Linked DNA regions of Cricetulus griseus. Each later gene encodes a partner of the first gene's protein in a complex. Links are inferred from orthologs where the notes say so. Each region holds a gene or a part of one and is shown on either strand. Other genes may lie near its edges.

Region 1 (3,560 bases):
TCCCCATTTCCTGTCTGTTCTTTTTTGTCTGTGCAATGCAGATTTACTAAATGCCTTTTTTAAAATTTACTCTTTGTTTGTTTGGTTTGAGACAGGATCTCATTTGGTAACACAGGTTGTCCTGTAAGGGATATGTCACTACATAGCCCATACTGCACTTGAACCCATAGCAATCCTCCTGCCTCAGCCTCATGAGTGCTGAGATTATCTTTGTTTTTTTTTTGTTGTTGTTGTTGTTTTTGAGATGGGTGGCTCTTTATATAGCCGAGGCTGGCCCTCAAACTGAAAATACTCTTGCCTCAGCCTCCCAAGTGCTGGGATTATAGCTGTGCACCACCATGCCCAGCTCTTAGTGTCTTTATACATACTATGTTCTCTGCTACCCTTGAGACTTCCTACTTCTCTTGTTCTGTATCTTTGAACTCATGGCCTATCTTCTTGTTCCTGCAGAAGGACTTGGGGGAGCGCCAGTCTGACAGTCTGGAAAAGGTTCATCAACTGTTGCCACTACCCAAGCAGAACCGAGATGTCATTACCTGTGAGCCACAGGGCTCCCTTATCGACACCAAAGGCAACAAGATTGCCGGCTTCGATTCCATCTTCAAGAAGGAGGCATGTTCTGTTGTCTTGCCATGCCCTCTACCCCCTAGCACCCCATTTTCATTTCTGATCTCACAATTCCAGCTAACACACTGAGTTCAGGAGCCCATTAGGCTCTCCTCAATAAAACCTACAGACCACCTGGGCTTTAAGCAAATCACTTAGGTTTCCTTGCACTTTATCTCCCCTTCTTTTGTAATCTCACCCTTTTCTTGAAAACTGCTCTACCTCCACCTATCTCTTCCTGACCCTCTCCCACTTTCCCTCCCCTCTGCCCCACCTCTTTTCTTGTCCTCTTACCGCTCTGCTGACCCCTGCCTCTTTTCCTCATGTCTCTCTACTTGCCCAACTCTACTTCCCTTTTTTCATGTTGGCTTCAATATTTGGATTAAAAACATTATATGTGCATATGTATGCCACTTATGTGTACAGATGCCCATGGAGGTCAGAAGTTGGATTCCCTAGAGCTGGAGTTATAAGTGATTGTGAGCCGCCTGATGTGGATTCCAGAAAAATAATAATAATAAAAAAACCTAGGTCCTATGCAAGAGCAGCAAGGGCTCTTAACCATTGGTCTATCTCTCCAGCCCTTAGTTTCAGTATTTTCTTGATTAAATGTATTACTCTGCATAGAAGAGGGAGAAAAGGGAATACAGAGTTTCAAATGCAAAGTGAAACCCCTTTGTGTATACACTCTCTTGATTCCTTTCTGCATCAGTGTGTCTCTCTCTCCCTCCTGCCCTCCCTGTTTCTCTACCCCTACTCCTCTGTCTTTCTCTTCTCTTTCTCTGCCATCTTTAGTTTTTCCTTGCCTCTCCTCTCCTTCCCCTCCCTTCCCCCTCCTCCCCCTCTTCTCCCCCACCTCCCTCTTATCCCCCTCCCCTCCCTTCCCTTCCCTTCCCTTCACTCTCCCTCTTCTCCTCCTCTCCTCTCCCCTCCCCTCCCCTCCTCTCCTCCTCTTCCCTCTTCCTCTCCTTTCCCCTTTCTGCTCCTCCCTCCCCAATGGTTTCTTTGTGTCCCTCACATTTTCTGTCAGCCTCTCCCCTCCCCAGCACCTCTGTTTCCCTGTCTGCTCCTTCAGTACCTCTTTCTGTCCTGGCGTTACCTTTCCCCTTCACGCCTTTCTCCTGCAATTCAACTCTGTGCCAGCAAAAATGGTCTTTCCTGCATATGTCTGTGTCAGTGTTTGTCTTTCCTCTTCTCATCATGTCCCCTGATCTACTTAAAAGTCTTTCCTTGTTTGAAAACTTGTCAACAGATATTTTACTCTTTCTATAAGTTCTCAAGTCCTGCCTCCTGTTTCCAAGGCTCAACAGCTCATTGTTTTCTCATTTTCTGGAGCAGGGTCTACAAGTTTCCACCAAACAAAAGATCTCCCCCTGGGATCTTTTTGAGGGCTTGAAGCCATCAACAGCACCACTCTCCTGGGCCTGGTTTGGCACAGTCCGAGTGGACCGCCGAGTGGCACGAGGGGAGGAGCAGCAACGGCTGCTTCTCTACCACACACACCTGAGGCCTCGGCCCAGAGCCTACTACCTGGAACCACTACCACTGCCCCCAGAAGATGAGGAGCCACCAGCCCCTGCCCTACTAGAGCCTGAGAAAAAGGCTCCTGAGCCCCCCAAGACTGACAAACAGGGGGCTGCTCCTCCCAGCACTGAGGAGCGCAAGAAGAAGTCCACCAAGGGCAAAAAACGCAGCCAGCCAGCCACCAAGTCGGAGGCTAGTCCCCCATCCCTACCTACCCCCTTCCTAATTTTGTGTGGTAGGGAGCTAAAGTTCCTGGTTTAAGGGAGGTATGGGGTACATGGGGAAGGGGTGCCATTAGAATCGTGATAATAATGTATCAGTGCCACTCCTGCTTACACCCTTCTCCCTCCTTCTCCTACCTCCCGACCCCCAACTGCTGTAACCTTTGTCCTCTGCACCCATGCAGGACTATGGCATGGGCCCAGGTCGGAGTGGCCCCTATGGTGTGACAGTACCTCCAGACCTTCTGCACCATGCAAATCCTGGTTCCATATCCCACCTTAACTATAGGCAGAACTCCCTAGGCCTGTACACCCAGAATCAACCACTACCTGCTGGTAAGTGCTAGTCACTACGAATGGTGGAGTTGAACATTCCTCCCTCTCCAGGGGAGATGTGGATGGCTGGAACTGTATTTTTTAACAGGCTGAAGGGATGAGGATCTCAGAGAGGTCAATTTGCTCTCCTTTCCAGGTGGCCCTCGTGTGGACCCCTACCGCCCTGTGCGATTACCAATGCAGAAGCTGCCAACTAGACCAACTTATCCTGGTGTGCTGCCCACAACTATGACTACTGTCATGGGCCTTGAACCCTCATCTTATAAGACCTCTGTGTACCGGCAGCAGCAACCCACAGTGCCCCAGGGACAGCGCCTTCGCCAACAGCTCCAGGCAAAGATAGTGAGAGGGGCAGTAGGGAGGACTGTCAGGGAGAGGGATTTTGGTGGGTCACAGGACTGAGGAGATACTTGGGAACTTCACAAGAACATGCAGGGTAGAAGGTATAAAAGAGACATGACAGAAAGCATTTCCTGAATTTGACTTCTCCTTTTTCCCTTTAGCAGAGTCAGGGGATGTTGGGACAGTCATCTGTCCATCAGATGACTCCTAGTTCTTCCTATGGTTTGCAGACTTCCCAGGTAAGTGCCTAAGACTATGAACATAAGGGAGAGGGGAGCAAGCTGCTTTACACACTCATGCCCCAGCTCTGTCTCGCATCCTTCTCTCCAGGGCTATACTTCTTATGTATCACATGTGGGATTGCAGCAACACACAGGCCCTGCAGGTACCATGGTGCCCCCCAGCTACTCCAGCCAACCTTATCAGAGCACCCACCCTTCTACCAATCCTACTCTTGTAGATCCTACCCGCCACCTGCAACAGCGGCCCAGTGGCTATGTGCATCAGCAGGCCCCAACGTATGGGCATGGA
Region 2 (4,250 bases), on another chromosome or scaffold:
AAAGACTATACAGAAACTCAAGGCAGCCTTTATAAGATCCCCAGAAATCCCCTCTATTCCCCAAAGTTGTATTAAAAGTAATTTATTGGGAGAGTACTCTCCAGTGGTACATCTTTTTATAAGACATCCATGCGTGGAATAGGAGTTTCCAGTGATGTGGCTGCCCATGTCACCATGCTGCTATAAGTAATTATAATAAACTCATTGGTTCACCAAGCTGCACTTGAATGGAATCCTTTATTTAATCTGTCAATGCCCTCTGTTTGTGGTATGTAAACGTTAATTTACATCTCCCCAAGGAAAAATCATGTGACAAGTTATCACCAGCCACAATGTATAATTTTTAAAAATCATGGACTTAACTTCAGCTGAAACTCTGAAGTTTCTGGGAAAAAAAAAAAAAAACATTGATAGCATCATGTCCTTAGAATAAAGGAGAAATTATTGATAACAAGACAACAACCACAACAAATTCAAAGTATCCATGAAAATTAATCTACAATGAAAGAAATGTTTAATAAAGTAAGAAAATATTCCAGGACTCAGGTGGTTGAGGCAGGAAGATTTTGAGTTCCAGGCTAACCTGGGCTATATAGTGGTCTCTGTTTAGCCTACTTAGACTACAAAAGACCCCATCTTGAAAAGAACCAAAGGAGAGAGGAGGTGAGAAGAAAGGGAGGAAAATGGAGGGGAGGGGAGAGACTAAGGGAGGGAGGAAAGAAAGAAAAAGAGGAGGGGATAGAAGTGTTATCCGAGAGCACAAACTAAAGCAAAGAAAAATGTTGTCTATATAAGATGAAAAACTTGAATACAGGATGTATTAGAACCACAAATAAGCTTATGAAAAATTATATGATTGACAGTAGACAGAAGATGTAAACAGTCCAGTCATAAACATCAAGGATGTGACAAACGAATGGTAGTATAAATAGAGAGTGCTTTCTGGATTTAGGGCAGTGTGGTTGAGCAGCTGGCTGCATAAATTTTCCAGGGCGATGCAAAATAGTGTTTTTAATCATGTGCTTAACATCACCAATCAAAATTAATTAAATTAATAACAATGCGCTTATTCCTTTTTTTTTTTTCAAAATTCATCGAAAGAACGTGCCCATCTCCTAGCAACTGAGGCAACTACCATAAAGAAGATAGGGTGCACGCGGGCAAGAATAAAGCGGTATCGACTCTTTCAGATGGTCAGTCCTTGACAGGCATCGCTTGGTTTGGCTGCAAAAGAACTTAAAATATGACGCAGCTCCGTCTCCAGCCAGGAGGTGGTGACCAAGGCAGCAGGTCTCATATCAAACAAGGTGCGCTTGTCAGCTTGCGGGCCACCTCAGCTTGCGGAACCATCGGGTAGGGCTACAGATACTCGGAGTGGTTGTAATGAGAGCGCACCGGGCCCTTCCGAGCTTCCGGGCGGGCTCTCTTTAGTTGCGGACCTCTGAAGGAAGCGAGCGAGAAAGCCGGGCTTCCTTCCTGTGGTTCCTCCCCTTGGCACCTTTCTTCCCGGATCGAGGGGTTTACCCGCGCCTTGGCGGGCACCCCGGGAGCCCGGGGCTCGATGGTAACGATGGAGACGCAGCTGCAGAGCATTTTCGAGGAGGTGGTGGTGAGTGCAAATGTCCGTGACCAGGGGGAGAGGGGGTGGGGGAAGTAGGGAGGAGACTGCGGCCCGGCTCTGGGCCTGGACCAGGGCCGGCTCCTTTCCCGCCCCCTTTGTTTGTTTTGACATTGGAGTCTATACTAGGGTTGGCGATCCCTGGGCAGCTGTCAGATTCAAAGAAAGCATCGTTAGTTCCCGCGCGTTCCTGATAAAAGTGACTTGTTCTATATTGCCCTAAACTATTTCTCTAGGGAACACCTCCCACCCCCTTTTGATTATTCAGATCCTTTACTGTATTTTGTTTGTTTGCAGAAAACAGAAATTATAGAAGAGGCTTTCCCAGGGTGAGTATGAGGCAGGCAGGATTTTTGTGAGATGTATCTTTGTAAGATTTTACTTACGTTGGTTTGGGGGAGTTGCAATAATTGCAAGTAATGTGATTTTTGTTTTTTAGCATGTTTATGGATACCCCTGAGGATGAAAAAACAAAACTAATTAGCTGTTTGGCAGCCTTCCGACAGTTTTGGAATGGGCTTTCTCAGGTGAGACATTACCTATGTAACAGCCAGTTGATGACTTCTGGTTCCTTCTTACTTTTTATGTCCACATTGACCTTTTTCTTAAGATCATTTAGGAATAGGAAAAATAAAATTGCCATCATTTTACATTCATATCTTTTTTTGCCACCCCCAAGACAGGGTTTCTCAGTGTAGCTTTGGAGCCTGTCCTGGAACTTGCTCTGTAGACCAGGCTGGCCTCGAACTCACAGAGATCTGCCTGCCTCTGCTTCCCAAAGTGCTGGGAATAAAGTCATGCACCACCACCGCCTGGCTACATTTATTTCTTTACTGCAGAACCTGCATTGAAAGTTCAATGTAATAAGATCCCAGTGGGAGATGTTTTTTTAAAAAATTTCTTTCATGTTAGATTATATAAGACATTTTATTCTATTTTGATACATTTGCTTTCCACATGGAAACAGATAATGTTAAGCATTTCTTGTAAAAGAAAAATGTCACGGTTGAAAAAAATTACCCAGGATTTATGAGTATACCCTCCTAAAGATGCTGTAATAGAGTCCCTGTTAGTACATTATCTTCTCATGGTACACTAAACATAGGGAAGTGAGCTACTGAGCTTTTGCCTCTGAGCCAGTGGTAATGTTTGCCACCCTAAAGACAATATGTTCTAAGTTTATTTTCAAAAGGTAGTACTTTGCGTGAATCAGAAAGCAGAAGAGTGGCTCCAAAGGCTGGTTTTCTTCCTTTTCTAGCTTAGCTCCCCCCCAACCCCCGTCTGAAGCTAGAATCACAGTTGGTGGTCCCTGAACTGTTTATCTACATATGAGACTGTGTCTGTCTATGTCACCCCGCCTTTGTCTCCTGAGTTCTGGGATTACAGAGTCGTCTGCCATCACAGTGTGCTTTTTCTCTTTTAACAGTGCTGGGAATACGGGGTTCCTTCCACATGCTAGGCATACGCTCCTCTCTGAACTGCATCCCCAGCCTCAGAATTATATTTTTATTTTATAGAATCACCATTTGTATACACCTGAAAGATGGTCTTGATATCAGCAAGACTTTTGGTGTCAGATTTTAATTATGAAGACCTAGAAATTAGATTTGTGTTTGGAATCATGGCAGGCTCTGATTAGCCTTCATGGGGACTGTATTCATCTAAATTTTGATGAGGCTGAGGTCCCCACCTAAGTTAGGTTCTTTTCCTCCAGCAAGTGGAATATTTATATCACCTTGTAAAGATGCTGCTTAGAGTAACTTAGATGAGTTTCTATTGGCCGTGAATTTGCTAATATAATCTTAGCGGCTTTTGGAGGTCTCATGGTAGGAGTTTAATTGAAATATTTAAGAATCAGTGTAACAAATACTAATTAAATCTTTATTTGGGGGCAAGGTCTTGCTAGATATAGCTCAGGCTGACAGAACTCTATATGTAGCCCAGGATAGCCTCACATAGACGTCATCCCCTCAAGTACTGGGTTTACTGGCATATACTACCATGCCCACAGTTGAATCTGACTTGAATCTTGCCCTTTTAGGAATTATTTTAATTTACTGATGTTCACAGTCCAATATTTTATTTACGGTACTGATATATCCCCTGGTATGATATTAACCATTTCTGTTCCTTAGAAAATGTAACTTCAGGCCTAAAATAAAAACTTTTTCTAATTTTTAGGATTCTCATGAACAATGCATCCAGTGGATTGTTAAATTTATTCATGGCCAACACAGCCCTAAAAGAATTTCTTTCCTTTATGACTGCTTGGCAATGGCAGTTGAGACTGGCCTCCTTCCACCCAGGTATGTGTGGGTGGGGATGACCTGTACAAAGACCTTCCCTCCAAAAGAGGCAGAGTTGATTTGAGGTTGTTGTACAGAGATAAGAGATGGAGAGGGGCCTGGGCTCGTTAGTAAGTCAGTTTAAAAGTCGGTTATTTTTGGTTTCAAATTTATTTTGTTTTTGATGTGTATGCATCTGCGTTACTAGTTGCTATGTTTATAGGAATGCCTGAGAGGCCAAAGTGGGTGTCGGATCCCTTAGAGCTAGAGGTAACAGGTAATGGGAGCCACCTGGCATGGCTTCTGGGACCTGGACTCGGCTTCTTCGAGAAAGTGTGAGCTCTGAA
Region 3 (4,340 bases), on another chromosome or scaffold:
CATGGGTTACAGTGTGAGCCACTGTCTCACAATCTTTTTTTTTTTTTTTTTCATTAATCTTTAAAAATGTTGCATTACGCTGGGCGTTGGTGGCACACGCCTTTAGTCCCAGCACTCGAGAGGCAGAGGCAGGTGGATCTCTGTGAGTTCGAGGCCAGCCTGGTCTCCAGAGCGAGTGCCAGGATAGGCTCCAAAGCTACACAGAGAAACCCTGTCTTGAAAAACCAAAAAAATAAAAAAATAAATAAAAATGTTGCATTACAAGTGTTATTAGAGGGCTGGAGAGATGGCTCAGAGGTTAAGAGCACTGCCTGCTCTTCCAGAGGTCCTGAGTTCAATTCCCAGCAACTACATGGTGGCTCACAACCATCTGTAATGAGATCTGGTGCCCTCTTCTGGTGTGCAGATATACATGGAAGCAGAATATTCTATACATAATTAATAAATAAAATCTTTAAAAATGATTAAAAAAAAAAAAGCCGGGCAGTGGTGGCACACGCCTTTAATCCCAGCACTCGGGAGGCAGAGGCAGAGGCAGGTGGATCTCTGTGAGTTCGAGACCAGCCTGGTCTACAAGAGCTAGTTCCAGGACAGCCTCCAAAGCCACAGAGAAACCCTGTCTCGAAACCTTTCCCCCCAAAAAAAAAAAAAAAAAAAAAAAAAAAAAAAAGCAGCAAGTGCTCTTAACTGCTGAGCCTCTCCCCTATTTATTTATTTTTGAAAAGTCTCACAATGTTGTTTAAGTCTTGAACAGTTCTGCTGGAGAGATTCTTACCACAGCCTTCCGAGTTCTGATTCAGACTGTGCCTGGTCCCCTGCATTCATTCATTCATTCATTCATTCATTCATTCCTTTATTTGGTTTTTCAAGACAGGTTTTTTCTGTGTAGCTTTGGAGGCTGTCCCGGAACTCACTCTGTAGACAAGGCTGGCCTCGAACTCACAGAGATCCGCCTGCTTCTGCCTCGGGAGCGCTGGGATTAAAGGCGTGCGTCACCAACGCCCCGCATGGTTCCCTGTACGTAAAGTTGAGGTTTGTACAGGAAATTATACAAGTTTGCTGTTGTATTAAGTTTGCACAGGCCAGGGAAAGGGTCTAGCACTGAGCTATTTCTCCAGACCTTTGAAAACACACAAAACATTCAGTGTTAGCACTGAGGCCCATACAGGCACAACGCTGTGCTTAGCTGGGGAGCGCATCAGACCTCTGTCACCTTGAGCTATCTGATGCTATCAATGCGGCTCTTTCCCCAGTGGCTCAGTTCACAATTTAAACATAGTATCCAATCAGTTTGGAGAGATCTGATCAAGACACCCAGGTCGTCGGAGCTGTGGGGGAGAGCGCCACTTATCCTAGAGCTGCCCTATGACGTAAGGCCCTGCAGTTATCCCCAGCGCACCGCTCCAGACCAGGACCCCCTCGCAAGGCAGCGCCGCACTTCGCACATGCGCTCTTGCCCCCGGTGCCAGGAGGCAGGCTCATTCCTGGCCCTCTCGGCACCCTTACTTCTCGGCGCTTCAGGGCCTAGGTTTCCTGTCCGTCAGCTTCCTGCCGGAAGTGCGGAAGGCGGATGCCTGCATCTTCTCTGGCGGGATTTTGGTATCTGTGGGTGCGAGTGTGCAAGCGTGGACTTAATTCCAGCTTCGCGGGGAGCTGCGGCGTGCACGGAGGCGTGTTGCTAGTGTAAGTGCACACGTGCCCGGGATCCCGGCGTGGGAGGACCGGTGCCGTCACTTTAGTCACGCTTCCCGCCTGGCTCGTTTGAAAAGGGGAAAAAGGCCGAGCCCTGTTCCAGGCGGACCCCCGTGTACCCTGGCGCCTCTCCCTGAGTCTCCTTGGCGTCCGCCTAGGGTGAAGGTCCTTAGGTCGCCTTCGGATCTTCTGTTTTGGGTTTTTAGAGGTCTCACTGCGATTCCCCGGTTGGCCGGAACTTGCTAGGTAGACCAGTCTGGCCTCGAACCTGCAGCCGTCTTCCTAACTCTGTTGTCGAGCGTTAGGATTACAGATGTGCCCCAGCACGGCCAGCTTTTATTTATGTTTGCAAACGGGGCCTCTGTGTAGCCTAAAGGTGACTCTACTTTTTCTGAATTTAGTTGTATGTCGGTTGTTTCGTTTGAGCCACGTAGCTGGGGGAGGGAGGCTGGGCGGTTAAATGCCCCTAGTCTTATTTAAAAGAGTAAGTTCCAGAAAAAGAGGTTGCACAGCTGCCTCAAGATTACCTAGGAAACTTAGAGGGTTCAGAATTTGAGATTAGAAGGTTACGCCGTATCTCCGTGGCCAGAACCCTTGTTTCTGTGTCGCCTGTTCATGGAGCGGGCTGTATAAATAAATGCGAAGTTCTGAATGCCTGAGTCTTGATTTCAGTGCCGGAGCCACGCTACTAACCGCTCCAGTGTACAAACAAGTGTGACTCTTCCAGGTGTATCCCGTGTTTACCTGACCGTCACCATGGAGGCCCCTCCAGTCACCATGATGCCAGTCACTGGGGGCACCATTAACATGATGGAGTACCTCCTGCAGGGTAAGTGAGCCAGGGAGCTTGCATTAATTGCCAAGTTTTTCCTTCCTTCCTTCCTTCCTTCCTTCCTTCCTTCCTTCCTTCCTTCCTTCCTTCCTTTTCTTTTTTGGTCAGAGTAAGTAGAGATAAAGCTAACAAAGTCAACCACACAGTTTCTGTCTCCCTGTAAGTATGTTTAAAGGAGGTAGGGTGGGAAGGTTGACTCAGTGGCCAGAAATTCACCACACAGACCAGTCTGGCCTCAGGTACCTGGGTTTAACGAGATGCACCATAAACAATTGCCTTTTCTTTTTTCTTTTTCTTTTTGGCTTTTCAAGACAGGGTTTCTCTGTAGCCCTGGCTGTCTTGGAACTCACTCTGTAGACCACGATGGCCTCAAACTCCCAAGTGCTGGGATTAAAGGTGTGCACCATCACCCCCCTGCTTCATTTTCTTTCATCTTTACTTTTTCTGCCTCTCGACTGACACTGATCACCTCCACACCTTGTTTTCTTCATCCACTGCTTAGATGCCCCAAAGAAGTGAAATGACTGGTTTGTGACAGGTTTCTTTTACTTGGCATTATATCCTTGACAGAATTATGTCTTATATTTACATGGTTTTTGTATTTTTGGAAACAGGGTCTTAGATAGCCCTGGACTCCTTATTAGCTAGAATTGCAGACCTAGGCTACCAGGCCGTGCTAAGTTCCTGTTTCCGAATCTCTATTCTGCACTGAGTATCTCAAGCATTGTATCTACTTACTTGACTCTTAGGGGGTAGTTTGTTTGCTTGTTCGTTTGGTTTTGGTTTTGAAGACAGGGTCTCACTTTATATATATCCCTGGTTGGCCTGCAATGTAAACCAGGCTGGCCTTGAACTCATAGACATCTACCTGCCTCTGCCTCCCAAGTGCTGGGATTAAAGGCGTGTGCCACCACCACCCGGCTTTTGCTTGAGTCTTGTAATGACCCCTAAATTTTATTTTATTTTTTTTAGCTCTGTCCTAAAGCCCAGAAGACAGAGATAAAGGCTCAATGATAAAACAAGACCCAAAGAGAATGCTGACTTTTTTAGGAGATCATACAATATATTTAGTAGGCAGAGTTAAGCTTTATTTATTTTTGAAATGTGTGTGTATGTGTATATACGCACGTGTATACAGGCGCTCTTGCATATTTTGTGGGAGTCATTTCTCTGCCACTGTGTGGGTGGGGGATTGAACTCAAGTCCTCAGGCTTGATATTTGTACTGGATTTAATTAGATTTTTCTATTACATTTTATTTGTTTGGGAGCGGCCTTGTGCTTGCCACAACACACCTGTAGAGGTCAGGGGACATGTGGGAGTTAGTTCTTTCCCTTCATTAGGTGGGTATCAAGGATTGAACTCAGGTCATCAGGCTTGGCAGCAAGCACCTCTACCCACTGAGCCGTCACATTGGTCCCTCTAAAATGTTACCGAGTAAACATTTAATTTTTGTCCTTGGGCAGTTGTCCTTTATCTTTGTATTTATTTGTTTGTTTGTTTTTATTTGTTTACTTATTTTTGGTTTTTCAAGACAGAGTTTCTTTGGGTAGTCCTGGCTGTCCTAGAACTCACTATGTAGACCAGGCTGGCCTCCAACTCGCAGAGCTCCATTTGCCTCTGCCTCCGAAGTGGCAAATATCTTTCATTTATTTGTGTGATTGCCTGTTTGGGTTTATGTGTATCATGTCCATGCCGAGTCCAGAAGAGGGCGTTGGATCCCCTGGACCTGGAGTTACAGACAGTTGTGAGCTGCCTGATGTGGGTGCTGGGAACTGAACTCTGGTCCTCTGCAGGAGCAGTAGAGGTTCTGAACC

Evidence for each region.
Region 2: Med12 (region 1) and Med23 share a complex: the UniProt entries of both Homo sapiens proteins name them as parts of the mediator complex. The link is inferred for Cricetulus griseus from reciprocal best matches to the Homo sapiens genes MED12 and MED23.
Region 3: Med12 (region 1) and Med18 share a complex: the UniProt entries of both Homo sapiens proteins name them as parts of the mediator complex. The link is inferred for Cricetulus griseus from reciprocal best matches to the Homo sapiens genes MED12 and MED18.

The regions. Positions count from the first base shown.
Region 1 is NC_048604.1:68,958,984-68,962,543, reverse strand, and holds part of Med12 (mediator of RNA polymerase II transcription subunit 12), read left to right. Parts: intron 1-450; coding exon 451-612; intron 613-1,944; coding exon 1,945-2,322; intron 2,323-2,536; coding exon 2,537-2,687; intron 2,688-2,823; coding exon 2,824-3,029; intron 3,030-3,190; coding exon 3,191-3,268; intron 3,269-3,359; coding exon 3,360-3,560. UniProt on the Homo sapiens protein: Component of the Mediator complex, a coactivator involved in the regulated transcription of nearly all RNA polymerase II-dependent genes.
Region 2 is NC_048595.1:244,044,863-244,049,112, forward strand, and holds the start of Med23 (mediator of RNA polymerase II transcription subunit 23), read left to right. Parts: upstream 1-1,439; 5' UTR 1,440-1,561; coding exon 1,562-1,609; intron 1,610-1,915; coding exon 1,916-1,947; intron 1,948-2,057; coding exon 2,058-2,145; intron 2,146-3,799; coding exon 3,800-3,924; intron 3,925-4,250. UniProt on the Homo sapiens protein: Required for transcriptional activation subsequent to the assembly of the pre-initiation complex. Component of the Mediator complex, a coactivator involved in the regulated transcription of nearly all RNA polymerase II-dependent genes.
Region 3 is NC_048595.1:20,799,965-20,804,304, forward strand, and holds the start of Med18 (mediator of RNA polymerase II transcription subunit 18), read left to right. Parts: upstream 1-1,529; 5' UTR 1,530-1,683; intron 1,684-2,364; exon of another isoform or gene 2,365-2,419; 5' UTR 2,420-2,448; coding exon 2,449-2,521; intron 2,522-4,340. UniProt on the Homo sapiens protein: Component of the Mediator complex, a coactivator involved in the regulated transcription of nearly all RNA polymerase II-dependent genes.